Tamandua tetradactyla: one gene and its partners. The protein of the gene in region 4 purifies or fractionates together with the protein of the main gene of each other region. This does not show direct contact. Links are inferred from orthologs where the notes say so. Each region holds a gene or a part of one and is shown on either strand. Other genes may lie near its edges.

What was found.
Region 1: the proteins of PEX19 (region 4) and FAF2 purify together in Homo sapiens (affinity purification with mass spectrometry; 4 studies listed by BioGRID and IntAct, counting the BioPlex papers as one, with this or other methods). This does not show direct contact. The link is inferred for Tamandua tetradactyla from reciprocal best matches to the Homo sapiens genes PEX19 and FAF2.
Region 2: the proteins of PEX19 (region 4) and PXMP2 purify together in Homo sapiens (affinity purification with mass spectrometry; 3 studies listed by BioGRID and IntAct, counting the BioPlex papers as one, with this or other methods). This does not show direct contact. The link is inferred for Tamandua tetradactyla from reciprocal best matches to the Homo sapiens genes PEX19 and PXMP2.
Region 3: the proteins of PEX19 (region 4) and NAT14 purify together in Homo sapiens (co-immunoprecipitation; 3 studies listed by BioGRID and IntAct, counting the BioPlex papers as one, with this or other methods). This does not show direct contact. The link is inferred for Tamandua tetradactyla from reciprocal best matches to the Homo sapiens genes PEX19 and NAT14.

The regions. Positions count from the first base shown.
Region 1 is NC_135346.1:57,868,253-57,875,362, reverse strand, and holds the start of FAF2 (FAS-associated factor 2), read right to left. Parts: upstream 3,046-7,110; 5' UTR 2,312-3,045; coding exon 2,249-2,311; exon of another isoform or gene 2,090-2,248; intron 1-2,089. UniProt on the Homo sapiens protein: Plays an important role in endoplasmic reticulum-associated degradation (ERAD) that mediates ubiquitin-dependent degradation of misfolded endoplasmic reticulum proteins.
Region 2 is NC_135331.1:1,211,125-1,218,614, forward strand, and holds the start of PXMP2 (peroxisomal membrane protein 2), read left to right. Parts: upstream 1-4,401; 5' UTR 4,402-4,619; coding exon 4,620-4,741; intron 4,742-6,485; coding exon 6,486-6,602; intron 6,603-7,490. UniProt on the Homo sapiens protein: Seems to be involved in pore-forming activity and may contribute to the unspecific permeability of the peroxisomal membrane.
Region 3 is NC_135342.1:4,247,178-4,255,208, reverse strand, and holds NAT14 (putative N-acetyltransferase 14), read left to right. Parts: upstream 1-4,988; 5' UTR 4,989-5,133; coding exon 5,134-5,205; intron 5,206-6,458; coding exon 6,459-7,007; 3' UTR 7,008-7,602; downstream 7,603-8,031. UniProt on the Homo sapiens protein: Probable acetyltransferase. May act as a transcription factor that regulates the expression of coproporphyrinogen oxidase by binding to a promoter regulatory element.
Region 4 is NC_135330.1:13,332,787-13,340,743, forward strand, and holds the start of PEX19 (peroxisomal biogenesis factor 19), read right to left. Parts: upstream 3,007-7,957; 5' UTR 2,945-3,006; coding exon 2,875-2,944; intron 2,104-2,874; exon of another isoform or gene 2,079-2,103; coding exon of another isoform or gene 2,045-2,078; intron 1,422-2,044; coding exon 1,312-1,421; intron 879-1,311; coding exon 713-878; intron 279-712; coding exon 193-278; intron 1-192. UniProt on the Homo sapiens protein: Necessary for early peroxisomal biogenesis. Acts both as a cytosolic chaperone and as an import receptor for peroxisomal membrane proteins (PMPs).

The DNA of each region.
Region 1 (7,110 bases), on a different chromosome or scaffold from region 4:
CTACCGTGAAGATTAAACATAATAGTTATATGTTTATGCCTAGGGCATAGCAGATTCTCAATAAAAGGTAACTATAAGACATACTTCTTCCCCCTTACCATAATTACTCTGACTTGTTCCTAAGCTCTCACAGCACTGTGTTCATACCACTTTACATCACAAGCACTAATACCTTGCAGGATACCCATTATCTGTGTTTAAATCTGGCTTCTCCCATAAGGTTATAGGTAAGATGGCTATGGATATGGATTTCTAAACCTCTGTCACTTACTACTTGTGTGAATTATTTGACCTTGCAGAACCTGTTACTTCATTAATAAAATAAACACGGGTTAACACTTTACAGAGTTAATAAGAGATTTAAACTACCTGGTATAACACTTGACACCTAGTAAGTTTCAAAGAATGTTTAATGGTAATCTGAATGATGAATATGATCAAGAGGTGAATAAAAGAATATATAAATGCAAATTGTATCTCCTCCTTAAACCCAATTTCATAAAGCAACCTTAATACAACTTTAACTTACTACCCACCTCTCTTACTGATCTAGATGTCCACCGAAAACAAAATGGAAGTTTTTATGCACTTTACCTCAGAAATACTACCACATATTCATGCTCTTCTGATACCAGACCAAGCACATCATTATTTATAACTTACATCAACTCATTACACTTAAAACACTGGGACTTACCCCTGTAAGAAGGGTAAAAAGGTCTTCCCAATGAAATGGGTGATCTAGTAGAAAATGGAAGCTAGTTGTCCACTGTTCATCTATCTTTGATTCTAATTTGCTGTGTCATCAATTTCTCTATTCAAAAACTCTAAACAAATGTCAGCTAATTCTTCAATCGTTTTTCCTTTTATATACTTTGAACCCATTCCATGAGGGAAGACAAAAAAATTCAAAATTAAGTATAGGGAAATCTACTCAAGGAAATTACATTAAAGTGAGAACTTGCACACATGAAAAAACACAGCACAACTTAGCATCACAGTATTTGCATTCCACTCCTTCAGCTATACACTAAAACTTACATATAGGTTGCACAGCACAGAAGAGCCAGAGAAAGGTTCTGAAAAGATGGACTTGACTTTCAATCTAGCACCACCACTTACTAGTTGTGTAACCTAGGCATATTACTGCCTAAGCCTTTGAGTCCTCACTTGTAAAACAGGGACTCTAACAGTATCAACCTCATAGGGTTATTGTGAGTATTAAATAAGATAATGTATGCTAAGCATTTGGCAAAGTGCTTATAGTAAATGCTCAATAAATGGTATTGTACCTAACAGTGCCTGAGCACTGTGGCTCTTGATAAATATTGCAGAACTAGGTGTACCACTAATTTTACTTTCTTAAATAATAATGAACGGCAGCAGATTGTTGGGAGCATTTTACAGTTTAGAAAGTACTTCTGACTCCATAAGCTTACTTGATCTCTACAACATCCTTTGAAGGGAGACATTTTTAAGATATACAGTTTAGAGATAAGGAAACTGGTATCCACCAAGGTAACAAACAGCCAAGGTTACCCACCCTAGTGGCCTTCTCCAACCAGATTCCAAGCTCTGAGATAAATGCCTAGTGCCAAATGTACTGAACACAACAGCCAATAAAAGGAGGCAGACCCCTGCAAGTTATCACCCTCCTTAGGCACAGTCAAGCACAGTAGTCCAGGAATAAATCCTGAATAATGAGCTCCTTCAGAAGCCGCTGTCAATACTTAAGATTCTGAGGGTGAGGGGCCAGACCCGCCAACAGGCGCCCTCTCCGCCACCAAAGAGGAAACCTGACAGCCATGAGGCCAGCAGTAAATGTAGGAGGAACAGACAGGGCCTGCAGGTAGGAAGTTTTTCATAGACCCGAAATGAAGCCAGCTCCGCGGGAGGGATTAAGCACCTCCGACACATCTGTAGAGTAGGCGCTGGGCGGAGAGGGTCCGACCGGTAGCCCGGCTGGGAAAGATGGCTGAGGACGGGAGCCGCTGAGGAAAACCTGAGGCAACTGACCCGCCAAGGATAAAAAGATAGGGAAAAGAGGCTGGACGGCCGGGCACCCAGAGAGGATCCGGGCCTCGGGGAAACCAGGGATGCAGGGCAGTTGGCATCTGGGGGGGAGGGGGCTGCCGGCTGATCTAAGAAGGATCCCGCCTGGGCCCAATCTAAGGAGGGTTCTGGGCTCCTCGGGGAACCCATCCCCCGTTTCACCGCGGCGTTTGCCGCACCAAGTAGTCGCTGCTACCTGAAACTGCAGCAGCTTCTCTGTCTGCTCCTGGGTTAGATCCCGCTGCTCAGGCGCCGCCATTTTGCCGCCGCCTCTACGCTTCTGACCCGTCCGCACCGTCACCCGCCGGAAATGACCTCAACGGCAACCACGTCCGGGCCGAGCGGCCGCCAGGGACTAAGTACGTCTGCGCGTGCTGGCCCCCCGACCGAGGCCTTGCCAGAAGTGGTGACAGTTCCCGCCGTCGGAGGGCGCCACTCTCAGGCCGATCCCGAACGCTTTTGGACTTAGCACGCGTCGTCCGCACGACACAGGCGTTGAACGGAGCAACGAGAGACCTAAGACTCCTGAATGGGTCTCAAAGAGCCGAGAGATCCCGAATGGGCCTCGAACAGCTCCGGAAACTCCCGAGTGTCATTCGGTTCATTTCTCCTGCTCCCTCACCATTCCCCGGTGATCTTGGACATTCCCGAATGCTTCTCAGGAAATGCAGTTTCTGAACTATCGGCGGCAGTTTGATGCTAGATTCCTGCTCTGACGTGTCCAAAAGCTCTGCCTCGATTTTCGAGCTCCTGACCGTCTCTCGGGACGTTCCGAAAAGTCCCCGAATGCCGGTGGGGCATTTCCGACGCCGCGTTCCACCCGGAAACTGCGGGAGGCTTTGGTCGCGTTTAAGCGGCAACTTCAAAGTCGCTTGCTAAGGGTGTTTGAACCCCTGTGGGTCCTTGACAGCTAACGGCTTCACCAGCTAGCGGTAGAGCCTTTCCCTTTCCTTGCCTGCCTCATGCCTTCTCATGTCTCTCTCGCACCTGGACTGGGATCAGATTTAGGTTCTAGTTCCCACCCACCCTGCTGTCAGAAATGGGCAAACCACCTCATCTCTGGGTTCCGTTTTGCCATTGGTGGAATGAGGTTTCTGGACAGCCTCAGACGAGCCGCCTCTGCTTATCACCTTCTCACCTTCCGGACAAGAAGACCTTTCCCTTAGGTTGTTTCCAGGGCCGTATACCCCCCTGCATCTCTTTCTCCCCTGCCCTTTCCTTGCCCCTTCCAGCCTGCCTCCTCTTCGCAGATCCCTGTTTTCCATTTCCACTTCTCTCTTTCCTGCCGTTTACCTGCCACCCTCCGGAAGGCTTGGGGAGGCAGAGAGGTCTGGGTCTGATACATGCTTTCGTGTGACTTCCAGCAGGGCGCTTGGCCTCCCGGTCCCCACTGTCCGGTGTGCCCTCATCTGGTGACTCCTGCTCCTGCCCGCTTCGTAAAGCTCACCAGGTGACAGAAGGTAGGAAGCGCTTTGAAAACTGAAGTACTGGAATTGTACACTAAGAGATTAAAGGGCTTGGATTTTGACCACTTCCTTACAGGCCTGTATCAGATTTTAACAGGTCTCCACAAACCTCGCGAACAATGTTCCTGGCCATTCTTCTTAGACCCTTAAGGTTAGCTTGGAAGGAAACAGCTGTTAACATCAGGAATTTATTCCATCAACTCGAAACTCAAGGGAGATTGGATGCTAGTCAGCATTTCCAATAAGGTTGGGTCCAGACAATCTAGATGTGGGTTTTCAAAGTCAGATGTCCTCCGGAGTCAGGCAGGTCACATAAGTGAGTGAAGCACAGAGAGGGCAAATCACAATCCTAACTTTCTTTGGCTTGTTGTTTGTTTAAGATATATTCATTCAACAGAAATACTTTGTAGTTCTGTTCATCACCATTGAATGTTCTTCATTTCCTCAAAGAAACATATAGTCTCTCTCTCTTTTTTTTTTTTTTTGCATGGGCAGGCACTGGGAATCGAACCGAGTTCTCCGGCATGAGCCACCGTGGCCCGCCCTGAAGCATATATCCTCTTGTCTTTCTGTTTTCATCTTTTGATAAAGACTTGGTTACAGGAAATGTTTCGTTTTTGTTCTTTAAAACTCTACTGTAAGAATTTGCCTAGTGCAAGGGACACCAGATGGAAAACTGGAGGGCCAGCCATTACTTGTTGTGCTGGTTTGAAAGGATGTATGTCCCCTAGGAAACCCATGTTTTAATCTAAATCCCATTTCATAAAGGCAGAATAATTCCTATTCAATACTGTATGTTTGGATCTGTAATTAGATCGTCTCCCTCAAGATGTAATCCAGTCAAGAGTGGTTGTTAAACTGGATTAGGTGACATGTCTCCACCCATTTGGGTGGGTCTTCACTGGTTTATTGGAGTCCTATAAAAGAGAAAACATTTTGAAAAATGGGAGATTCAGAGAGTGCAGAACAGAATGACATAGCCACGAGAAGCAGAGTCTAACAGCCAGCGACCTTTGGAGATGAAGAAGGAAAATGTCTCCTGGGGAGCTTCATGAAACAGGAAGCCATGAGAAGAAGCTAGCAGATGACACCATGTTCATCATGTGCCCTTCCAGATGAGAGAGGAACCCTGACTGTGTTTGACATGTGCCTTTCCAGATGAGAGAGAAACTCTGTGTTCACCATGTGCCTTCTCACTTGAGAGAGAAACTCAGAACTTCATCGGCCTTCTTGAACCAAGGTATCTCTCCCTGGATGCCTTAGATTGGACATTTCTATAGACTTGTTTTAATTGGGTCATTTTCTCAGCCTTGGAACTGTAAACTTGCAACTCATTAAATTCCCCTTTTTAAAAGCCATTCCATTCCTGGTATGTTGCATTCCGGCAGCTAGCAAACTAGAACACTTGTCCAAAGGTAGTTGCTGCTTTTTAGCTATAGCTGACGGCTTCCATGTGAGAGACCAGAGTTGCCATTTTTTTGTCTGTATTTTTTTTTTTTATTGTATGGTATAACATGTATACAAAGCAAAGAAATAAAAAAAGCAATAGTTTTCAAAGCACTGTTCAACAAGTAGTTACTATGCAGATCCCAAAGTTTGTCATGGGCTGCCATATGATCACCTCAGATTTTTTTCCTTCTAACTGCTCCAGAATATAGGAGGCTAGAAGGCTTAAATTTTTTTTATCATCACAATCAACTTTTTCTCCTTTTTTTTTTTTGTGAAAAATAACATGTATACAAAAAAGCAATAAATTTCAAAGTACAGCACCACAATTAGTTGTAGAACATATTTCAGAATTTGACATGGATTATAATTCCACGATTTTAGGCTTTTAATTCTAGCTGCTCTAAGATACTCGAGACTAAAAAAGGTATCAGTTTAATGATTCAGCATTCATATTCATTTGATAAATCCTATTGTCACTGTATAACTCCACCATCACCTTTGATCTTTCTCTCTCTTTAGGGGTGTTTGGGCTATGGCCATTCTAACTTTTTCATATTGCAAGGGTCTAACACTAATATAGGGGTTAAGGAGATGAAACTATCTGATGTTCTCGACAGGCTGGGCCTTCTAGATTTCAGAACTTATCTGAATCAGGGACAGAATTGCCATTTTTTTTTATTTAAAATTTTTTTTAACAATATAACAACAAACAAATGCAAACATTAACATAGATCATTCCGTCCTACGTATATAATCAGTAATTTACAATATTATCACATAGTTGCATGTTCATCATCATGATCATTTCTTAGAACATTTTCATCAATTCAGAAAAAGAAATAAAAAGAAAACAGAAAAAAAATTCATACATACCATACTCCTTACCCCTCCCTTTCATTGATCACTAACATTTCAATCTACTAAATTTAATGCTTGTTCCCCCATTATTTATTTTTATTCCATATGTTTTACTCATTTGTTGATAAGGTAGATAAAAGGAGCATCAGACACAAGGTTTTCACAATCACAGAGTCACATTGTGACAGCTGTATCATTATATAATCATCTTCGAGAAACATGGCTACTGAAGCACAACTCTAGATTTTCAGGCAGTTCCCTCCAGCCTCTCTATTACATCTTGACTAACAAGGCGATATCTATTTAATGCATAAGAATAACCTTCACGATAATCTCTCAACTCTGTTTGGTATCTCTCAGCCATTGATACTTTATTTTGTCTCATTTCACTCTTCCCCCTTTTGGTTGAGAAGGTTTTCTCAATCCCTTGATGCTGAGTCTCAGCTCATTCTAGGATTTCTGTCCCACATTGCCAGGAAGGTCCACACCCCTAGGAGTCATGTCTCATGTACCCATGTAGACGGCGGGGGGTGGGGGGTGATGAGTTTGCTTGTTGTATTGGCTGGAGAGAGAGGCCACATCTGAACAACCAAAGAGGTTCTCTTGGGGGTGACTCTTAGGCCTAATTTTAAGTAGGCTTCACCTATCCTTTGTGGGGTTAAGTTTCGTATGAACAAGCCCCAAGATTGGAGACTCAGCCTATTGCTTTTGTTGTCCCCACTGCTTATGAGAATATCAAGAATTCTCCACTTGGGGAGAGTTGAAATTTCCCCCTTTCTCACCATTCCCCCAAGGGGACTTTGCAAATACTTTTTTACTCACTGTTCAAATCACTCTGAGGTTTATTAGGGCATCACTCTGGACAAACCTACCAAATCTTATGCCCTACTCAAGGTTCCATGTACATACAGTGTTCAATTAAGCTGTCCACATAAGTTATGTTAGGAACTGCACTAGTCAAAATATAAATTTTGTACCAAAAAAACATTTTTTTGCTCTAGACTCACAGATAAGTTAAAATTTTAAAATATTAATTACCATCTATTTTCAACACCCTGCAGTAATGACATTCCTTTGTTCTTCCTCATGCAAAACATTTTTAAATTTGTACATTTAATCACTATCATTATACTTTCTAGGCATTCCTAGATTATACCATCACAGTTTTTATCATCTATCCTTCTTTCTGATTTCATTTGTGCCCTCAGCCCTCTTCCCTCTATCATTCTCACATTCAGCTTCATTCAGTGTTTTAACATAATTGTATTACAGTTAGGTGGTATTG
Region 2 (7,490 bases), on a different chromosome or scaffold from region 4:
TGGTATATACATACGATGGAATACTATGCAGCTTTAAGACAGGATAAACTTATGAAGCATGTAATAACATGGATGGACCTAGAGAACATTATGCTGAGTGAGTCTAGCCAAAAACTAAAGGACAAATACTGTATGGTCCCACTGATGTGAACAGACATTCGAGAATAAATTTGGAATATGTCCTTGATAACAGAGTCCAGCAGGAGGTAGAAACAGGGTAAGATAATGCCCAGTGGGAGTTGAAGGGATACAGACCGTGTAACAGGACTAGATACAAAAACTCAAAAATGGACAGCACAATAATACCTAATTGTAAAGTAATCATGGTAAAACACTGAATGAAGCTGCATCTGAGCTATAGGTTTTTTTTGTTTTGTTTTGTTTTGATTTTACTATTATTACTTTTATTTTTTTCTCTATATTAACATTCTATATCTTTTTCGGTTATGTTGCTAGTTCTTCTAAACCAATGCAAATGTACTAAGAAATGATGATCATGCATCTATGTGATGATGTTAAGAATTAATGATTGCATATGCAGAATGGTATGATCTCTAAATGTTGGGTTAATTTCTTTTTTTCCGTTAATTAAAAAAAAAAAAAAGAGAAGGGATAATTGGAGCTGAAGGGATACAGACTGTACAACGGGACTGGATATAAAAACTCAGAAATGGACAGCACAATACTACCCAATTGTAATGCAATTATGTTAAAACACTGAATGAAGCTGCATGTGAGGTATAGGTTTTTTGTTTTTGTTTTTGTTTTTCTTTCTATTATTGTTTTAATTCTTATTCTGTTGTCTTTTTATTTCTTTTTCTAAATCGGTGCAAATGTACTAAGAAATGATGAATATGCAACTATGTGATGTTATTAAGAATTACTGATTGTACATGTAGAGTGGAATGATTTCTAATTGTTTTGTTAATTCTTTTTTCAATTAATTAAAAAAAAACAGCTATAGGAATTATGTGTATGAAACAAAACATTAATGTCTAAACCATTATAGTGCTTTATGTAGTGTTTCTTAGTAAAAAGCTAATAAAGGTAAGAATTTCTTGAAAAAAAAAATAAGAGTGAAGGAGTATATATGCACAACTATATATACTGTTGGACTTCTCCTTTTCTACTGAAGATTATAATCTATTCCCTCTCTTTTGGTCCCTCCCTGCCTCCCCTTGCCTAGGAAAAATCACAAATGAACCAGTACAGTCTCCAGGTTTTACTGACATCATTCTCCTATTTACAACTGCATGCTAACTGGAGTTACAGAAACATTGGTTGCAGCAGAACTAAACATGAAAAATGCAGTATGTCCTTCTGGGATGCTAGGGTCTAGATATCAAACTGAACATGGATTAAAAAATAGAGATACAGAATTGTTCTGAGAGAAGAACTATTTCTCAAGGAAATTTACCTTTCTCAGTTCTATAATATCAATATACCCGTCTCAAACTTCTCAAGCTTCTCTCTGGTTAGGCTCTTCTAATAGCTCTTCTTACAGTTTTTAGCACAAACTTTAAATAAAGTACCTGGATGAAGACTTTTGATCCCAGAACTATTCAAATCTGCTCTGATTTCAGACCTTAGAATCTCACCAAACTGCTCATACTCTAACTCTACAGTGTGATCCCATCTAATGGACAAGATTACAGATTCTAAAGCGTATACATTTTGGGCAGAAGCCCTATTTATTTCCTACTTACATTCTCCACTCCTCAAAAACGTATGGCTAAGAATCCATACCCCAGGCTTTTCTGTCTGAATACAAATACATGAGCTACTCTATAAAGCAGTCGGCAGAGGGAACATGTACGGGTCTTGAATTAGTGCCGGCCGGGGGGTGAGAGGTGGTGCGTGCACTCTACTTGCTCGTGGCCTCGGCCTCACAGGCACAAGTAGATACACCCGCTCCCACTTGTGCCAGCCTGCTTTCCTGACGGTTTCCCTAAGAGCTCTTCCAAAGGGCAGTACATTGTTCCAAAGAACAGTTCTTCCCCAACTCTCCATGGATATTTATTCCTTCCCTTCTGCCACCCCACATCTCCCAGGATCAGACTCTAGCCTCTTGCTGTGTGTTTCAACGCTCCTAGGATACCACAATTCTTTTGATGAAGCTATGTGACCAGTCCATCTGAGCACTATTAGATTTCTCTGCAAGGTGAGAGTGTTTCTAAGATATTGATGCCACTTAACCCAGCAATGCTACTTCCAAAGCCAGGGAAACTGATGTACAGAAAAGCTTTGTTTTTAATATACAGATGTTCATCATAGCTTTATTTATAACGGGGAGAGACGAAGCAATCTAAACAAGCTAAATATCCAAAACAGGGGCCAGGAAAGGAAAATTTATGGACATATATAAAAACCAAATCTGATCAGAATTCAGGCCCTTAGTTACCATAACATATCTCACCTGTTATTGATTTATAAACAGAAACAGACACAGAACTGCTTAAGAAAACCTGGGTCCCCTCCACTGAAGAGCAGAATGACCATATTCCAAGATTAGGGCCCTTACATCACGAGAGTACAACCGCCTGTGGGAAATAAAACGGTGCCCCCTCCCAATCCCTGGCACCTGTGAATACGTGCCCCTGCACGGCTAGGGCGCTTTGGAGATGGGATCAAGTTAAGGATCCTGAGATGGGGCAATAACCCGGATTATCTGGGTGGGTCCTAAATGTGACCACAGTGGTCCGCAGAAGGGCCAGAGCCAGAGGACAAGACTGGAAGGTGCTACGCCGCTGGCTCTGAGGATGGAGTCTGCCACAAGGCGACAACGCAGTGGCCTGTGGAAGCTGGAGGAGGTGAGGGGCGGCCCCAGAGGGCATGCGCCCACTGCACCCTGGCAGCAGGACCTGTGACCTCACAGCCTTACAAGGAGAGGCAGTATTACGTCGGCAGCTAACCCTGTGGTAATCTGTCACAGCAGCAATGGGGAACAAAACCTTCAGCATACTATATGACTGTTCAATCTCTAAAATATCGAGATTCACCTGTAAACCCAGAAAAAGTGTATTCCAAACGTTGCTGAGCACTCAGGCTCATTCTGAGGCCTAGGTCATGATTGAAATAAGCCTCCCACACTACATTCCTCCGAATCACCCATGTCTTCTCCTCACATCAAGTGAGTCGAATTAAGTGGATTCAAAAACTGCTAACTCTGACTCCTACAAAAGCTAAGAAATCAGGATAATAGTAACAAAATAATGTCTCCCGTTTACTGACTACTCTTCCCGTGACAGCGTGGTCTGTGCTGCGTTCTTCTCCCCTGACCAGCCTGAGCCCAGGGTACTGCCCACTGCCCACTGCCCACGGGGCTCTCGTAGCTCCTCGGCTGTGTCAGGGTTAAGTGAGCGTCTAGACCCCAGCTGCAGCACCCAAGAGCAGTTTCATTCCTAGGAGAGCCTTGCATCTGCTGAAAGGACAGCAGCCGCGAGCCGGGTGGCCGCGCTAAGGGCACAGGTTTCTCCACAGCCTGCAGGTATGAACCTCACATCTCCAAACCCCAGGTTCAAGTACAAAACGCTGACAATCACGGCATCTGTCTCCTGGGGCTTCACGAGGACTCGACCAACGAGAATAAAGCACGGAGCCCAGCTGCTGGCCCATCTGTCCGCGCAGGGCTGGGCTTCGGGGCGCCCTCCGGCCCCCGGCCTTGTCCCGCCATTCTCGTCCACCTCCGCCCTCCCACCCGACTTCATTCTCGTTTTACAGGTTCTGGGGAAGATCCCGACACAGCTGTGGAAAAAGGGGGTCCCAAGGACAAGTATCTAAAGAAGAAAACAACGGGACAAGGCGAGACGATGCCGAGAAGATCCCGGGGCGGCAAGGAGTGCGGGCTGCCGGGACCGGGGCGCGGAGACGAGGCGCGGGAACCGGGTGCGGCCCCGACGCTCCAGCAGCGACCGCAGGGCAGAAACCCGGGCTCGTCGGGGGCAGCCCCGGGGTCGCCCCGGAAGCGTGGAGGCCTCCCGCCCCGCGCCGCCCGGGCCCCGCACTCTGTCCACTTCCCCGGCGGGGCGGCTGCCTCGGGCGAGGACGGGTCCAAGACCAGGGCCGAGCCCCGTCTCTCCGCGCAGCCCCGGCCCCGCCGCCCCGCCGCTCCTCGCGCCGCGCCCCGGTAGGGGTCGACCCTCACCGGCTGGCCTCGCCGTCCGCGCCCGGCTCCACGCGCCGACGCCCGCCGTGCGGCAGAACCATCGCGCCGCTCCGCCCGCGCCTCAGACTTTCCCGGGGAAAAGTTGGCGCGCTCCCGTCAGCTCTCGCGAGAGCCCGGCAACGCCGGAACCATCCAGTCAAGGAGCCGCGGCGCGCCCTGCCCCCTGGCGCTCCCATTGCCCCCCGCGCCCGGGGGCGGGGTCGCGCGGGTCTCGGAGTGGCGTGTGCGCAGGCGCGCGCCCGCCTCGGGCCCCTTCCAGGCCCTTTTACCGCCCGGTCCCCGGCCCTGGCCCCTCCCCGCCGCCCCCGGCATTGACCACCCCCGGCCCTGACCCCAGGACCATGACCCCCGCTCCTCCCCTCGGACCCTGACCTCCCCCCCTCCGTCCTCCGTCTGTCACCCGGATCCCGGACCCTGACCCCACGGGTCTGTGGCAGGGAACTCGGGGAAGGCGATGGCGCCGGTAGCCTCAAGGCTGCGGGGCGAGGCCGGGTTCGGGACGCTCCCGCGGCGGGCACTGGCCGGGTACCTTCGTCTCCTGCGGCTCTACCCCGTGCTTACCAAGGCGACCACGAGGTGCGCGGGCCGAGTGCCGGGGGCGGGTGTCTCGGGGGGGCCAGACCTGGGGAAGGGCTGGGGGACCCGGGGCAGGGGGCCTTGGAGCTAAGGTCCCGGGAGAGGCTGGGGGTCGCAGGGCAGGCGCCTGGGGGGCCAGGCCTGGGAAGGGGCTTGGGGGTGCAGGGCAGGGGGCCTGGGAGCTGAAGTCCAGGGAGGGACTGGGGGGCATAGGGCAGGGGCCTGGGAGCTGAGGTCCCGGAAGGGGCTGGGGGGCACAGGGCAGGGGGCCTTGGAGCTGAGGTCCAGGGAGGGACTGGGGGGCATAGGGCAGGGGCCTGGGAGCTGAGGTCCGGGAAGGGGCTGGGGGGCGCAAGGCAGTGGGCCTGGGAGCTGAGGTCTAGAGAGGGGCTGGGGGGCATAGGGCAGGGGCCTGGGAGCTGAGGTCCGGAGAGGGGCTGGGGGTATGGGGCCTGGGAGCTGTGGCCTGGGGAGGGGTTGGGGGTGCAGGGCAGGGGGCCTGGGAGCTGAGGCCCGGGTTGGGGCTGGGGGGTATAGGGCAGGGGCCTGGGAGCTGAGGTCCTGGGGAGGGGCTGGGGGGTATGGGGCCTGGGAGCTGAGGTCCTGGGGAGGGGTTGGGGGTGCAGGGCAGGGGGCCTGGGAGCTGAGGCCCGGGGAGGGGCTGGGGGGTATAGGGCAGGGGCCTGGGAGCTGAGGTCCTGGGGAGGGGCTGGGGGGCATAGGGCAGGGGCCTGGGAGCTGTGGCCTGGGGAGGGGTTGGGGGTGCAGGGCAGGGGGCCTGGGAGCTGAGGCCCGGGGAGGGGCTGGGGGGTATAGGGCAGGGGCCTGGCTGGGGGGTATAGGGCAGGGGCCTGGGAGCTGAGGTCCTGGGGAGGGGCTGGGGGGCTAGGGCAGGGGCCTGGGAGCTGAGGCCCGGGGAGGGGCTGGGGGTGCAGGGCAGGGGCCTGGGGGGGCCAGGCCCAGGGAGGGGCTGGGGGGCACAGGGCAGGGGGCCTGGGGGGCGCCGGGCAGGGGGCCTGGGAGCTGAGGTCCAGGGAGGGGCTGGGGGGCATAGGGCAGGGGACTGAGGGGTGAGGCCTGGGGAGGGGATGGGGCACGGGGAAGGGGCCTGGGGGGCAAGGCCCAGGTCAGAGGTAAGGGTCACCGCTGCATCCTGGCACAGTGCTGCCCACAGAGCGCCCCGTTACTGCATGGAGGAGGCGGGCCCAGCAGCTCCGGCCTGTGCCACAGGCAGGGTGAAAGTGCTCCATCATCTCAAGGACTCTCCTGCTGTCCTTGGGGAGCCACATTCGCCTTCCTCCCCTCCCGCCACCACAGGATACTCTTGCTGAGCTGTAGTGTACTGTCATATAGTGTAGTCACAACCAGGAAACACACATGGGTACAGGCACCAGCCTTACTCAGATTTCTCCAGTTTTCCCCGTAGGCATGTGTGTGCGTGAACATTGCATGCATGTATGTGTGTGTGTGCATGTGCGTTTGCTAAGTCCTGTGCTCCATTTAGGGAACTTTGACGGCAGCCTGTTTATTATTTTTTACATGGGCAGGCACCGGGAATCGAACCCGGGTCCTCTGGCCTAGCAGGCAAGCATTCCTGCCTGCTGAGCCCCCGTGGCCCACCTGACAGCCTGTTTAAAGACTTGTCTCGGTCCACCCGTGCAGGGTCCCCGAGCACCTGTGAATATGCCCGCAGAGAAGGGGCGCTCAGACTGACTGCCCTGGTTTCTGATTGCTCTGTCTGCAGCGGCATTTTGTCAGCACTTGGGAACTTCCTGGCTCAGCTAATTGAGAAGAACCAGAAAAAAGAAAAACGTTCCCAAAATGTAGATGTCATTGGGCCTCTCAGATATGCCATTTATGGGTGAGTGTCAATAAAGCTGGTTTATACCAAAGCAGACTAAGAATCAACAAAGCAGTTTTTTTGAATCATCTAATTTGAAAAAGCAATCTTTTTTTAAAAAGCATTGAAGTAATCATGATGGGAAAAATCAGAATGGTGTTGGAGTTATCTTCACTTACTTTGTAATTTAGTATGCTTTTTTATTTTGAATTGTATGGGTGGCTAGGGGTGGGGGGCATTTTAAAATGGACTGAGAGACGGACAACATAGCTCTCCAGAACCTAAAATCAGACTCCAAGACTGAGAGACCCTGAAAACATCCTAGGCTCGTGGGAGAGTGAAACCAACTCAGATAGGGCCGATATTTTCATGGTGTAAACACCAGAAAAGAATTGGGTATCCCTCTGAAATTCTGCAGTTTGTGAGCCACTTTCTGAATTGCAAAAGCAGAGATTCGGGAGTCTTACCCAGCCACACCCACCGTGAGCTTCTGTCTGAGAAGAGTGTGCTCAGTGGTTGTTACGAAGTCTTCTGCATCTGGAGGGATTCTTTAAAATTCAAAGTTCATAGTACCATTGTGTGCCTGTCAGCACACTAATGTCAGTCCTCGTGTCTCTCCCCTCATGTATTTAATGCAGAAACTCTCCAGGGAGGGCAAATGTATCAGAAGCACCCCAAAGGAATTATCCAATTACATAGTCTTCTCATCCCCAACATTTTATTTCTCTTCCCTGCTGAGAATCACTGCTATTGGGCATTTAATGTCTTATAGTGGGGAAAAAACAACTGTGAATCACTTGTTTAAAGATCATTTCAGTGTCAGAAGTTGAAAGAGTCCTGGATCCCTGCTCCCCTTTTTATTGCTGAATGTTTTGGAGTTGCAGGCCCCTCACCCCACAAGGCCAGGCA
Region 3 (8,031 bases), on a different chromosome or scaffold from region 4:
GGGAGACAGCCAGGGGATGGCGGGGAAGGTGGAAGCCACGGAAGGTAACTTGAGGAGGGAGTGACCAGAGACGTTGCCGAAACTGACCACTGCATTCAGCCCTTTGGGGGTGGCTGGGGATCTCATCCAAGCAGCTTGGGACTGAGTGGGGTAAGGTGAGAAAGACAGCACCCAGTTCCCAGGTGGGCAGTGGTGTTGCAGGGTTGCCCTGCCTTGGCATTGCTGCCCTTTGGGTCTTTGGCCTTGTACGATGGTGAGCAGTGTGCCTGGCCTCTAAATGCCACTAGCCCTCTGCCTGCCCCACCAGGTGCAACATCGCACAATGTCTGCAGACACTGCCCAGTGTCCTGGGGGGCAAAGCTGACCCCGGTTGAGAAGTTGCAATCCACTGGTGTAGAGGTTGGAAAACCTGGGAAGGCTCATTCTTCTCCAATGCCTTTATTTCCTCTGTGAAATAATCCACAGCAAGGCTGCCTGTTCCAGGAGCAGGAGTGGGAGGTTAGAGTTGGAGGTTTGAGAAGAAAAGAAAGGTGGGCAGCCGTGTGTGTGTGTGTGTGTGTGTGTGTGTGTGTGTGTGTGTGTGGCTGAGTGGTGCAGCCTGGGCCGTGGGGGCAGCAGTGAGGACACACACTCATGGTTGTGGTCTTCCTCTTTCCGTGGCCCTGCTTGCCTGTGGCTGGGTGTGGCAATGGCACTGCAGGTCAGGGAGTGATTGTCCTGGTTGGGCCAGGAGGGGGTGAGGGCGTGAAGGAGGGATGGCCAGTGGGCGGCATACCTGGTGGACCCTGGGGGTTAGGAGTTGGGGTACCAGAGTGACGAGGGGCAGTGGAGTGCCGGAGGCCACTCAGGAAGGGCTTCAATAGAGTGGAAGAGTTCAGGGTGCTGGAGTTGGGGTGGGGGTGGGGCAGCCAGCCTCCTGGAGGAGAGTGATCTGCTCCCAGCTGGCCCCGGGCCCTCAGCCAGGTGGGCTGGGGAGGGGCATCCTAAAGGGCCAGCATCTGGCTACAGCATCTGGGCAGAGATGGAATGAGAGCCCCGGCCCTCCTAACCCAGCACCCCCCCACCAGGTGTGATGGTTGGCTCCCACGGGGACATGGCGCCCGCCTCCACTGCAGAGGGGTCTGCGGACAAGCCTGGGCCCACGGCGCCCGCAGCCCAGTACGAGTGCGGGGAGTGCGGGAAGTCGTTCCGCTGGTCCTCGCGGCTCCTGCACCACCAGCGCACGCACACTGGAGAGCGGCCCTACAAGTGCCCCGACTGCCCCAAGGCCTTCAAGGGCTCCTCGGCCCTGCTGTACCACCAGCGGGGCCACACTGGCGAGCGGCCCTACCAATGCCCCGACTGCCCCAAGGCCTTCAAGCGCTCCTCGCTGTTGCAGATCCACCGCAGCGTGCACACGGGCCTGCGGGCCTTCTCCTGCGCCCAGTGCGGCCTGGCCTTCAAGTGGTCATCGCACTACCAGTACCACCTGCGGCAGCACACGGGCGAGCGGCCCTACCCGTGCCCCGACTGCCCCAAGGCCTTCAAGAACTCGTCCAGCCTGCGGCGCCACCGGCACGTGCACACGGGCGAGCGTCCCTACGCGTGCGGCGTCTGCGGCAAGAGTTTCACGCAGAGCACCAACCTGAGGCAGCACCAGCGCGTGCACACGGGCGAGCGGCCCTTCCGCTGCGCGCTCTGCCCCAAGACCTTCACGCATTCCTCTAACCTGCTGCTGCACCAGCGCACGCACGGCGCGGCCGCCGCCAACGCGCCCGGGGTTCCCGCGGCCCCCCAGCACCGCTGCGTGCCTTGCGGCAAGGTCTTCGCCTCGGACGCCTACCTGCAGCGGCACCTGCAGACCCACAGCCCGCCCGCCCCGCCCCCGCAGCCCGTGGTCCCCGAGCTCTTTCTGGCAGCTGCGGAGACCACGGTGGAGCTGGTGTACCGCTGCGATGGCTGCGAGCTGGGCTTCGGCAGTGAGGAGCTGCTCCTGGGCCACCAGCCCTGCCCCGGGCCCGAACCGGCGCCCCAGACCCGGGACTCTCCCGTCCCCGCGCCCGGGCCTGACCCGGGCCCAGCTCCCGCGCCGCCCCCACCTTCTGCCCCAACACCTGCTGCTGCCCCGGGCTTCGCCTGCCTCCCTTGTGGGAAGGCCTTTCGCAGCGGGGCCGGCCTGTCCCGCCACCAGCACAGCCACGGGGCCGCGGGCGGGCAGGCCTTCCGCTGCGGCAGCTGCGACGGCGCCTTCCCGCAGCTGGCCAGCCTCCTGGCACACCAGCAGGCGCACGTGGCAGAGGCGGCTGCCGGGCGCCCGCCCCCGCAGGCTGAGGCGGCGGAGGTCACCTGTCCGCAGGAGCCCCCTGCGCCGGCCGCTCCCGCGGTCACCGAGCGGCCCTATCAGTGCGCCGAGTGCGGCAAGGCCTTCAAGGGCTCCTCGGGGCTGCGCTACCACCTGCGCGACCACACAGGCGAGCGGCCCTACCAGTGTGGCGAGTGCGGCAAGGCCTTCAAGCGCTCCTCGCTGCTGGCCATCCACCAGCGCGTGCACACGGGCCTGCGGGCCTTCACCTGCGGCCAGTGCGGCCTCACCTTCAAGTGGTCATCGCACTACCAGTACCACCTGCGGCTGCACTCGGGCGAGCGGCCCTACGCTTGCGGCGAGTGCGGGAAGGCCTTCCGCAACACGTCGTGCCTGCGGCGTCACCGGCACGTGCACACGGGCGAGCGGCCTCATGCGTGCGGCGTCTGCGGCAAGAGCTTCGCGCAGACCTCCAACCTGCGGCAACACCAGCGTGTGCACACGGGCGAGCGGCCCTTCCGCTGCGCGCTCTGCCCCAAGACCTTCACGCACTCCTCTAACCTGCTGCTGCACCAGCGCACGCACTCGGCCGAGCGCCCCTTCACCTGCCCGGTCTGCGGCCGCGGCTTCGTCATGGCTGCCTACCTGCAGCGGCACCTGAGGACGCACGCCCCCGCGCACCCGGCCCCCGGCGGCGCAGCCCCCGCCGCAGCTTCCCAGCCTCCAGCCCCACTGGCGTCTGCCGCAGCCCCGCCCCCCACCCAAGATGTCCATGTTCTCCCTCATCTGCAGGCCACACTCTCCCTCGAGGTGGCGGGCGGCCCCACCTCGGCCCCACCTCCGAGCCCAGCAACCCCCAACTCTCAGACGTTCCTGCTGGTGCAGACGGCCCAGGGCCTGCAACTGATCCCCAGCAGTGTGCAGCCCCCTACCCCGCCACCCCCACCCGCACCCCCAAAGGTCATCCTGCTGCCTTCCCCAGCTGCTGGAGGAGGGGTCAGCCGTGTACGGCAGGGCCGGCGAGCAGTGGGGAAAGCTGGCCAAGGAACTGGTGTGGTCTGGCTACCAAGCCCTGGGGGGCTGGGGGTGCAGGGAGCGGGCAGTGCAGGGGCCAGTGGGGGAGGGCAGAGTCTCATTGTGCTGCAGAACGTGGGGGGTGGGGAGGCAGGACCACAGGAAGTGAGTGGGGTCCAGCTCCAGCCCCTCCGACCAGCCCAGGAGGTGACCACCGTCCAGCTGCAGCCGGCCCAAGAGGTGACCACCGTCCAGCTGCAGCCGGCCCAGGAGGTGACCACCGTCCAGCTGCAGCCGGCCCAGGAGGTGACCACCGTCCAGCTGCAGCCGGCCCAGGAGGTGACCACGGTCCAGCTGCAGCCTGTGGCAGGCCAGCTCTCTAGTTCCAGTGGGGGGACTGTGGCCGCTGAGGCCCCCAACCTCCTAGTAGTTCAGAGTGAGGCCACGGAGGAGTTGCTCCCAGGCCCTGGCCCCGGTGAGGCGGGGGATGGCGAGACCAGCACCGGTGTGGTCCAGGATGTCCACTTCGAGACGCTGCAGACGGACGAGGGCTTGCAGAGTGTCCTGGTGCTGAGCGGGGCCGATGGGGAGCAGACCCGGCTCTGTGTGCAGGAGGTAGAGACCCTCCCTCCTGGGCTGGCCGAGCCCCCAGCCCCTGGCCCGCCAGGACAGAAACTCCTCATCATCCGCAGCGCTCAAGCCCCAGAGCTAATGGAGAGCAGCAGCCTGGGGGGAGGCCCGGCCACTCTGCAGCTGCTGGCCCCTCCCCCGCCTGGCCCAGGCACTGGCCCCACCGGCCTCCCCGTCAGTCCCACCTCCCAAATGGTACAAGTGGTCCCCGCTGGGGCTGGAGGCGTGGCGCAGTCGGGCCTGCCCTCCATCCAGATTGTGCAGACTCTCCCGGCAGTCCAGCTGGTGCACACTTTTTGAGGAGACCCGCTGGTACCCCCCGGCTCGTGTTCGGGCGGGCGGGAGTGGATTGTAGGCTGGCTTTGTTAATAAAGACTCAGAACCTTCTCTCCTTTGTTTGCTTTGGCGGGGAGAGGAGAGGGAGGGGGGAGAGGAGAGGGAGGGGGGAGGGGCGAGGTCACGGTCACAGCAGTGGCCTGGGCCCCTGGAGTCTTCGGTCTTGCACCTGTGACTTTTGGGGCCAGTCTTCTCTGGGGGCCGCTTCCCGTCCTTAAGAAGGACGCCTGTGTTTGAAGTCGCCCCGCCCTCATTTGAACAACGGGCGTGGGTGGGCACTTATCTCTAAGGGCGCCGCGGGCCCCGGCGCCCGGTGGGCTGGGGTGGACGGTCCCGGACAGAGCCGCCCGGCTCGGGCCGCCAAGTGCGGGGGCCCCGGCGCGGGTAAGTGCAAACCCGGGCGCCGCGTCCCCACCCCGGCTCGGCGCTCAACTCCAGCTCCGCGCCCGGGTCGCCTAGCAACGGGGCGTGGGGACGCGGAGTGCGCAGAGGAGGGCCGTCCCCGCTCCTTCCCCGGCACCCTCGGCCGTGTGCAGCCACCCCCGCTCCAGCCCGCGGCCGGTTCGCCCGGGACCCCCGCCGGGACGCTGGGCCGCGGGCGCTAAGGCGGGTGCAGGCGTTCCCCCGCGGCGCGAGGCGCGCGTCACTTCCGCCCGCGACCCTTCCCGACCCCGCCGCCCTGCCCCCGCCCCGGGCCGCCGCGACCCCCTGGACGGCCCTGCAGGGCCTCGCTCCCGCGGCGCGCGCCGGGAAGGGCTGGTCGCGTCGCGGCGGCCGATGTGGGAGCTGGCGCCGGTGACCCCCGGTTCCCGCTGACTGCGCGTTTCCCGCAGGCCCCACCGTTGTCCTGCCGGGCACGGGCCGGGGCTGCCATGGCCCCCGGCCACCTGTCGGTGCGGGAGATGAGGGAGGAGGAGAAGGCCCTGGTGCTGGAGATGCTGAAGGTGAGAGCCCGAGCGGGTGCAGGCCGGGGCCAGCCCCTGCCGCCCGGCCTTCCCCTCCCACCCCGCCGCGCGCGCCCCGTCCCTCTCGCCTTCGCCCTCCCCAGGTCTCAGCTACCCCGGCCGCGGCACCCACTGCCGTCCCGGGGCTCCTGGCTTCCAGCCTGCTCGGCCCGGCCGTGGCCCCCCCCTCCTGCCATCTCCAGGGGCCCGCCTTAGGCCCGGACACCCCCACCGGGCCCCCTTGGGACCGAGCACTCGCTGCCTGGAGGAGGATGCCCTGAGACCCCTCCGGGGTCACGTCCCTGGTGCCCACCAATGGGCCTGGATTGCCGTGGGGGCGGCGCCCAGTTCACCCACCCACTCACTCACCCCCTTTTTCATTTCATTCATTCATTCACTACTTCATTTGTTCATCCATTCAGTGGCTTATTCATTTGTTAATCCACTCTTCATTTATTCATTCATTCACTCATTACCCATTCCCTTCCTCACTTTTTCAGTCCCTAGCTCATTCATTCATTCATGCTTTCACTTATTCATTTATTCATTAATCCATTCTCACTTATCTATTCATTAAGTCACTCATTCATAGATTTGCTTATTCATGATTTGCTCATTCAGGCACTCACTTGGCCATTCATTCATTCACTGTTATCATTTGCTCACTCAATCATTAATGCTCCACATTCATTCACTTGTTTGTTTATTCATTTACTCATTCATGTGTTCACCAGTTCACTCATGCATTATTCACTAATTCACTCATTCATTCCCTAATTAACCCCTGCATTCAACACTCTCATTTGTTCATTCAACAACTCGCTCACTCACTAATTCACTCATCTTTTCACTGCCTGGCTCACTCACTCATTTATTCACTCACTCACTCACCCATTCTCACAACTCATCTATTTGTTCACTCATTCAGGCACTTATTTGGCAATTCATTCACTCACTCATTCATTCATTTATACTCTTGCCCATCCATTCATTCATCACTTGTTCATTCACTCATTCACTAACTCACTTGTTTGTCCATTCATTCATTCACTCATCCATTCATTTGCTCATTCCTTCACTCACCCATCTAACACCCAGTGCACAGAATTCTGTGAACAGAGCAGATGTGATCCCTGCCTGTCCCTCCACCACAGACCTACCACCTGCCTTCCCTTCTTGTCAGTCAGTCCTCCTACCGGCTGCTGCTGCCCACTGCCTCTGTCCCTGCCTCTGACCACCCCTCCCACCTGCAGGCCGGCGTGAAGGACATGGAAAATCGTGTGGCCCTGCATGCTTTGACGCGGCCGCCAGCCCTGCTCCTCCTGGCGGCAGCCAGCAGCGGTCTGCGCTTCATCCTGGCCTCCTTCGCCCTGGCCCTCCTCTTGCCCGTGTTCCTGGCAGTGGCTGCCGTGAAGATGGGCCTGAGGGCCCGGTGGGGCTCACTGCCTCCTCCAGGCAGCCTGGGGGGCCCCTGGGTAGCAGTCCAGAGTTCTGGTGATGTGTGCGGGGTCCTGGCTCTGGCCCCCCACCCACATGCGGGAGGCGGGGCCCAGGTCACCCGTCTCTCTGTCTCCCGCTGGCACCGCCGCCGGGGTGTGGGCAGGAGGCTGCTGGCCTTCGCTGAATCCCGAGCCCAGGCCTGGGCAGGTGGCATGGGGGAGCCCCAGGCCCAGCTTGTGGTCCCAGTGGCTGTGGCAGCTTGGGGGGTGGCAGGGATGCTGGAGGGCTGCGGCTACCAGGCTGAGGGGGGCTGGGGCTACATGGGGTACATGTTGGTGAGAGAGTTCAGCAAAGACTTGTGACTCCAACCGGCCTGAGAGCTGGGCTTGGGCCAGTTGCTCCCTTCACCACAGCCCTTTGGGGGAGGGTGAGTGGTCCCTCAGCAAATCCCCAACCCACCCAGGACTCAGAACCCTAAGGCCCACTGAGGGGAAGGGACCCACCGCCGCCTGCCTGACATCTGCAGTGTCGAGCATGTAGCGTTTGAGCCCCTCAGAGTGGAATCCCTCTTTTCCTTCCCATTCCTAGGGGGACCCCAGAGCTCAGCCAGTCCAACCCTCAGTTCTTTCTGCACTAAGAAATCTCCTGGTCCATTTGTCTGCAAAGCTCTGTTTGTGCTTCAGGCCTGGGAGAGATGTTTGTGGAGCAGGACGCCGAGCAAAGAGGGCTCCCAAGAGTTAGGTCTTGAAGGCCTTCCTGGGAATGGGCTGGGGCTGCCAGTAGAGGGCATGCACTGGGAAGTGGGGCTCTGGGGCCGAGAGGTGGGTGCAGGGCTGCTGCGGGCCCCTGGGCAGAGGAGCTGGAGAGCTGAGAGGGCCAGGAGCCCCCGCCCGCCCCCGTTCCTCCAGACCCATCTGGTTTTTAAGGCATTTGTTAATAAAGCCTGAGATTGCTGTGCGTCTGTCCCTCTCTTTGATGCCTTTTCCAGTCTCTCTCTGATCCCCCCATCCCCCCTCCGTCTGGCTCCTCCCTTCCCCAAGTTGACATTAATTGGTGTGGGAGGGAGGGCCTGGGAGAAGGGGGTGATGAGCTCACAGCAGCCTCGGTCCGCCCTTCTGACTCACAAGCCCCATTACCGAATTTTTTCCGCCTCACAGCTGCTGGTGCAGAGAGCGGGTCTGAGTATATGAGTGAGAGCTAGAGAGTGGAGGGTGCTGCTCCCCCATCCAAGTCTTAACTCTCAGCCCTCCCGCCCCCTCCCATTTTTCTCATCCTCTGGGACCACTCAGACGGAGGGAGGGCTTTGCAGTCAGATTGACTGGGGGGGTAGAGTGGTTCTGTCTCCTTTCCTAATCCGGAAGTCCTTCCTGCTGTCTGGCTGTAAGC
Region 4 (7,957 bases):
CTATACTGCTTTCTTGGTATATGTCACCACTCCCTCATTTGGGAAAGTTGAAGCCCAGATAAGAACTATTTTACACTTGCCTGTAGCAAAACAGTAAGGGAGCGAAGGACTTGGAATGATGCCCAAGAGCTTTTGTCTTTTGAGATTCTGTTGGTGATGGTGTCTTGTAGTTTCCCGCCCCTATCCCCTTACCTGAAGGTCAGTAGCATTTTTGGCTAGTCCACTTAGTGTCTCCTTTAGACAAGAAGTGAATTCTTGTTGGGAGGTCACGTCACTGCCTGGGAGCAATAAAAAAACCAGGGTCATTTAGGATTGTAACTGTCTACTTGGTTAGACTGACCTGGTTACAAGCTCGGATCTGGAACAAATACTACTGAATCACTACCACACTAAATCTACTACTCTATGGTATCTTAGTCATTGTCATGAATCTGCACAGACTGTGTATCTGTTTATTCTGCATGATGACACCCAGAATAACATTGTGATCTTAAAAATGATCAGTTTTGAATAATCATTTCTATTACTTTCCAACCTATCTCATCCCTTTCACTAAGGAGGGTTCCCACTCCTCCCTCCATCTCCTCACCTGACCCCAAGGCAGTGGCATCATGACTACTGTCAACCTTACTAAGAATTCTGGTGTTCTCAAGCAGATATGACTTAAATGGCTTGCTTATGTATTTCCTGCTGTTTGGAGACCCCTTCTCACCCACTTTCCCAGCAGCTTCTGAGAGCTTTTGGAACTGTTCCACCAGGTGGGGCTCTTCCTCAGCCAACTCCTTCATTGCCTTCTCAAACTCTGCAGTGGCTTGGGAAGCCAGCTCACTGTCAAACAGTTCCTGGAAAAACTTCTCTTGGGAGGCAAAGAGGGCATCCTGCAAGGGAGGGGTGGTCAAAATGCATCTTCTACTTGGCATTTCACTGTACCTGGGCCCTAGCAGAAGCCACAGAGAATGGCTCTAAGGAAATGCAGTGCTTCCCTCCTACTCACCTCCATTGGAGATTCTAACTGCCTCTCCTGATGAGGACAGAAAGAAAGGCATCCAACCACTGAGGGAAGAATATAGGGTGGCACCCCAAGCCAGCTATTTAAACCTTCTCTTTTCTCAAGGAACTTCCTTTAGATTCCTCCACTCAATCTCAAGTCCTTGTTTCACGAGGACAGACATTTGCAAAAGCACTCAGCAATGTGAGGCCAAGGCACCATGCCCCACTCCCCTCTGGCCCACAGGGGCCTGCCCTGCCCCACCTCTGCTCAGAGCTGCAAGAACATTCCCTCCCCTTCCCTTAAGTGGGTGGAATATATACTTTGGCAGTGTCTCCTGGCGATCTCTTCTGGGGCCCCGAAGCATCAGGGGCCATGGTGGTAGGAGGGGGTGCTGGGGAGGGTTTGGCCTTATCGAAATCATCAAGAGCACCTTCAGAGACAAGAGACATGGGGAGTGTGTTGAGGACAGGTAAGGATGCAAGGCTGGGTGCTTTTGGGACAAAGCATTAAGAGAATGATCTTACAAACTGCCAACTTTCCTAATTTTTTTTTCTTTTTTAAGTCTTCCCTTCCCACCTACACCACAGTAAGCTTCCCACTTCCCTCCCCATTACCTAATTTACTACAGTCAAAGGGAAAGAAATCATTTATGGTAGAATAGGCAAATATGTCTCAGAGCTGGAAGAAGGTTAAAGGAAGTGCTGCAAATAGCAAAGTACACCTCCATCTCTACTGTGCCTTCCTCAACACATTCTATTAATGATTCCCTAGAAATTCTATACAAATATCCAACAGGAGTAGGGAACATAGATATCCATAGCTCCCTGAACTCACTTTGGAGACGTAAAGGGAATAATCTTAGGCAAGAAAACAGAAACCATGATGTTTAGTTTAATTCATGGGAGGCTTAATTAGCTTCCTATCAGACCTGGTACTATTGCAAACTGCGGGACTACATTATGCATTCCCTGGGAGGGCTTTAAATCTTCTCTTGTTGTCCAATTTAATTATCCCTCTGGTCTCATCTCTGCAAATAATCACGTGCCAATTCACCTTCAATTGACACTCCTCCACTGTTTCTGTTCATCTTTCTGACCCCTCTCCCCCCCCACCCCGCTCCCACAATCACTATGACTGAGCTAGAGACGCAAAATTCACCTCCGCCCTGTAAAGCGTGTGATGTCACCACCACTCTGCTTGCCAGGCCTGGGGGGAGGGCACTGACCCCACTCTGGGCAAGAAACCAACAGAGTTGTGAAGAATAGGGAAAAGAAGAAAAGAACATCGTCTTTTATGAGAGTGAATTGGCTTCCCCTGAGGTCGTCTCTCAGTTTCTTAAACAAATGGGGCAGAAATCCACTAGAGTTAATGACAGGATCAAAGAACTGGAAAGGGGTGAGAGAAGGGTGAAAATAACGGGAGGAGGAACGAAGTGTCTTTTGTGTGGACAGGCCAGGGGCACTGAAAGACAATCTAGGGCTTTTGAAGATTTAATGTGAACAATCTATAAGTATCTGCTTCGCTGTCCACGGAGGACAAAATGCTGCTGCTGGCGGAAAGGAAGTCAAACTTAAAGAATGTATTGATCTAAAGCAAGGAGAGCTTGGAGAGATATCGTCCTATGGGTTACAGTTTTCCCATCTCTGGGATATCTTCCCAGAGAGATCAACGGTCTGGGCCGCTCAGGGACCCAAGGTGAACTCCGCAGCTCCCGCCGCTGAGTAGGGAGAGGGTGATCCAGAGATTTCACTCTGGTTCGCCCGCCCCCGTCCAACCTTTGGAGAGCCTCTCCCACTCTGCCCCACATATATCAGGTTCACTTAATCCCCTGAATGGGTCCTCACACCCGCCTCCTTTGGGCCTTTCCAGTTATTGACTCTTACTTTCCAAAAGCTCTTCTAATTCTTGGTCCGCTTCAGCCGTAACCTCACAGTTGTCTTCAGCGGCCGCCATCTTATTACCTACGACTCGCCGTAGGAGGCGGGACTCCTCAGCGCCGCCACGTGCCCGGCCTCTCGCCCCGCCCCCTCCTGCTTTGTACAACCAATGGTATTGTTAGCGAGTAGGCGCCGCCATTTTTAAAGGGACAGGAACTTTAATTTGCTTTTTTTTTTTTTTTTCTGTCAGAACCGGTTCAACTAATATGAGGGGAATTAATTATCTTCTACCTGGTTTCTTCCGCGCCTGGCCTCCTTTCTTTCAGCTTCCCATATTACCCAGAGAAGAAGCCGTTTCATTATTTCTACTCAAGCTGTGGTGGGACCAAATTATTACAAGCTGCTTACAAATAAACAGATGCTACGCATATATAACCAAGAAGACATTTATGGTCCGTAGAAATCCATTATTTTTCTCGCACTTCCTTTGGTATTTTACTCAAATGTCATCTTCGCTGAGACGCTTTCTTTGGCCTCATAAATAAAACTGCACTCCCCGCCCCCCCACATACACACAAGCATATATACTTCCTACTTACTCTTTTTTTTTTGCCTTAATACTATCTGATATGCTATGCATTTTATTATTTACCTTGTTTGTTGCCATCTCCCTCCCCCACCCTGCCCCGGTAGAATTTAAGCATCTAGAAGGCAAGGAATTTTGCCTGTTGTCTCCACTGCTGTATCCCCAGCTTGTAGACTAGAGCCCGGTACTTAGTAGGCACTAATTGGCGACTCTTTGCTCCCCAGACGCTTATCAGGCATGTTTCTCTGCCGAATTTAATGGATAGCTATCTCATTTCCTATTCTCCAAAAGGATTGATCTGACTAAAGGACACAGGACTAGGAATTTAATAACTCACTGTTAGCTGAATCAACTCAGGCAGAAAAAACGACTGTGGGGCCTTCCAATTGAACAAGAGAGCAATCAATGTAGTTAGCAATAGACCTGACCTAGTCTTTGGACGTTCCTATTTTTTCCTCATACAGAATCCAACTCCCAATCTAATTTTGAGAGTGAGGTGGGATAGGCTCAGATAGGGAGAACTCTGGGTATTCCTTCCCTCCTCTGGAATATGTCTCCCATTCAGATATGCCAGAATGCAACATATCTATTGTAGTACTTAGAGATATCTGCTATTGTTTAAGATCTTGTGCTGGGTACAATGGAGGATGTAGAGATAAATCAGGACCAGCCCCTGCCCTAATGTAGCTGCTTGGGAATTGGGCTAAAAGTAGGACTAGACAGACATACACACTTACTATGACACAAACTTGAAGTATTTGAAAAGAGTTAAGGATAAAAAAAGTAAAAGAAGGGAGAAATCACATCTAGGTGGGAAAAAATGTGTAAGTCACTTCATCCTTTTGGTCCTCAGCTTCCTAAACAAACATCTGGGTTCTGTGTATCAAGCACCACGTTAGGTACTCATTCTTTCCTTCACAGATCTAACACAGGCTTCTAAAATTATACCTGTGCAAAATCTACTATGTTTTTTTTCAAGCACAAGTGGTGTAATTTAGGAGAAAACCGGAAGGAGTTGGGAGTCAGAAGACCCAAATCCTAGTTCCCAGCTTTGTCACTAAATCAACTTGTGTCTTTGTTCAAAACTCTCCACCACTGTAGACTTCAGATTACAAACATGTAACATTAAGAGTTGGGACTCTTAAAATCCTTTTCAATTCTAAACTTCTATAGTCAAATCTTTTCCTATGCAACCCTTTTTCTCCCCAACACCTGTCACGTAATTGATTCTAGGTTACCTTTCTCATTAAGGTCTGAATTGCTTACATAATTATTATTGATAACATTTTACATGTATAAAATTTGTCCATTTACAGGTTAGTATTTCTATTGGCCTTACATTAATGGGGAAATATAAGCATGTTAATAAGGAAAATACTAGATGGTAATTGAGAGAATTAAGAGAGAGGGAGTCAAACAGAAGCCTGAATTTTCCTTTTTGTATTTTTAAACTTGTTTCTGCTTTTTAAATTTTTTCTATTATCTCGGTATTTACTCACCTCGCTGTTCCCTTTCTATTGTACAGTGAACATTATTTCAAAACAGTACTTATAGCATTTTCTTTCTTTATCACTCTCTTAAGGACTTAGCAATGATTCTTCAGTGCTTCTCAAAATTTTGTCTAATTTCACAATTTCATATGTATGTCCTAAATTAGATAAGCTTGAAGAGGCAAGGACCGCCAACTTTTTTCATATCTCAGTTCACGCAACTGTTTATATTCACATTAATTTGTTGTTTTTGTTTTGTTTTGTTTTGCACGGGCAGGAACTGGGAATCGAACCCGGGTCTCTGGCATGGCAGGTGAGAATTCTGCCTGCTAAGCCACCATCGCACCGCCCTGTAATTTAATTTTTAAACTCACAAAAAAGTTATTATCACCAGCTTACCTATGTTTACAGAAAGAATGTAGCTTGAGAAAGTGTTATCAAAGTAGTATGCAAAATTTTGAGAAGGCGGGCTTTGGGGACACTGCTTAAGAAAGCAACTCAAGAGCAGTGTGATGGTGGCTTGGTGGCAGAATTCTTCCCTGCCATGCCAACGACCCGGATTCATTTACCGGTGCCTACCCATGTCAAAAAAAAGAAAAGAAAGAAAGAAACTCAAAATAAAGGTAAAAAATATAAATTTCAGTTCTAGGAGATTAAACATACTTGTCCCACCTATACAGTGCATGATCAAATTATTCATTGCAGCCTTGTTCATAATAGCAACATTGGAAATAAGTTAAAAGTCCATCAAAAAGGACTTTATTAATGTCTTTGATAAATAAAACTTACATAAATTATGGCATATCATACAATGGAAGACTATGCAGAGAAGTAAAAATAGAGTGAAGAAACTAATACACTGATATGGACAAGTCTAAAATATGCTAAGTGAGAAAACCAGATGCAGAATTGTTAAATAATATGCTTCCATTTGTGTATTAAAGGGTGATAGGGAAGAATATATTCATATATGCCTGTTTATACATTAAAAAGAATCTCTGGAAGGATTTAAGGGCATAATAATGGTTACCTTTTGGGGGAAAGTGATAACAACTGGATATTGAGGGAAAAGGCGGGAAGAAGACTTTTAACAGTTTAGCTTTTCACACTCACTGATTTTTGAATTCTGTGAATGTATTGTTTATTAAAGACATAAAAATTTAAAAAGGACATATTTTAATCAAAGGCACTTCACCCAATTAAGTCCTTTCACATGACAAGCAAAATACCAGTGTAATCAGGAACAGTGACAGGCAATGGAAAGTGTTTAATAAATACTGGCTGTAACTAGCAATAGATAGAAGAATGCAGTAAAAAATGGACTAGGGGAATACTTGCTTTCTACCATTCTCACAGCAATTTAGATCTATGTCTAACATTTATCAAGTGAAAAATATGTACTTTTTTTAGTGTTTATTACTTTTGAAATTAAAATTATTTAAGTTGAAATTAAAAATAATCATTGAGAAAAAAATATTCCCCAAGTTGAATTTTTGTTCTCACAAGCAGTGCGGACAGCCAAAGCTATAGGCTGAGTCCCTAGTCTTGGGGCTTGTTCATATGAAACTTAACCTCACAAAGGATAGGTCAAGCCTACTTAAAATTAGGCCTAAGAGTCACCCCCACGATAACCTCTTCTGTTGCTCTGATGTGGCCTCTCTCTCCAGCCAACACAACAAACAAATTCACCACCCTGCCCCTGTCTATGTGGGACATGACTCCCAGGGGTGTGGACCTTCCTGGCAACGTGGGACAGAAATCCTAGAATGACCTGAGACTCAGCATCAAGGGATTGAGAAAAACCCTAGAATGAGCTAAGACCCAGCATCAAGGGATTGAGAAAACCTTCTCGACCAAATGGGGGAAGAGTGAAAAGAGACAAAGTGTCAATAGCTGAGAGATTCCAGAGTTGAGAGGTTATCCTGGAGGTTATTCTTACGCATTAAGTAGATATCACCTTGTTATTCAAGATGTAGTAGAGAGGCTGGAGGGAACTGCCTGAAAATGTAGAGCTGTGTTCCAGTAGCCATGTTTCTTGAAGATGATTGTATAACGATATAGCTTTCACAAGGTGACTGTGTGATTCTGAAAACCTTGTGTCTGATGCTCCTTTTATCTACCTTGTCAACAGACGAGTAGAACATATGGAATAAAAATAAATAGTAGGGGGAACAAATGTTAAAATAAATTTAGTTTAAAATGCTAGTGATCAATGAAAGGGAGGGTAAGGGATACGGTATGTATAATTTTTTTTTTCTGTTTTCGTTTTATTTTTTTTTAAGAAATGGTCATGATGATGAATATGCAACTATGTGATGATATTATGAATTACTGATTATATACGTAGAACAGAATGATCAAAATAGGAATGTCTGCATTTATTTGGTGGGCTTTTTTTGATATTTAAAAAATAAAATAAAATTATTAAAAAAAAAAAGAAAGTGTCCAAGAAACAAACAGCAAGCCAAGAAGCTCTTGTAGAAATTTAGTTTATTTACCATGAGAAACAAAATAAGAGAACTATGGTTGCAGGACACAAATCAACCTAAAGTGGTATGCATTTCTGGAAAGCCAAATGGTACCCTCCCAGTCCTTAAATTTCTGGGTACTCAGAAATTTGAGAGTTTCACTGCCCAAGGAAAATAGAGGATGACTAAGAGTTTGGTAGGACGGAGTTAAAAATGGTATCTTACTACATTCCTTTTCTTTCTAGACAAATGACACAAAGGTGGTAGGGAAGAGAGGGATAAATATCGAATGAGTGCATTTACTAAATGAATGCTCAGTACTGAGTTTTAATTTGTTCCTTAAAAGATCAAAGCTGAGAAGGCAAGGCCAACTATGACTACCACTACAGTCACCTTGAGAAGATGAGAGGTCTTCACAGGCAAAGTTTAGATATTTTGATTAGTCATGGCAGAAGAGAAAAGAATACCAGGTCTTAGGGCAGGGAGAGCCAAATATCAGAAATCTGAAGGGTAGTTGGGGGAAGGCAGGGAGTTAGAAGCAGGTA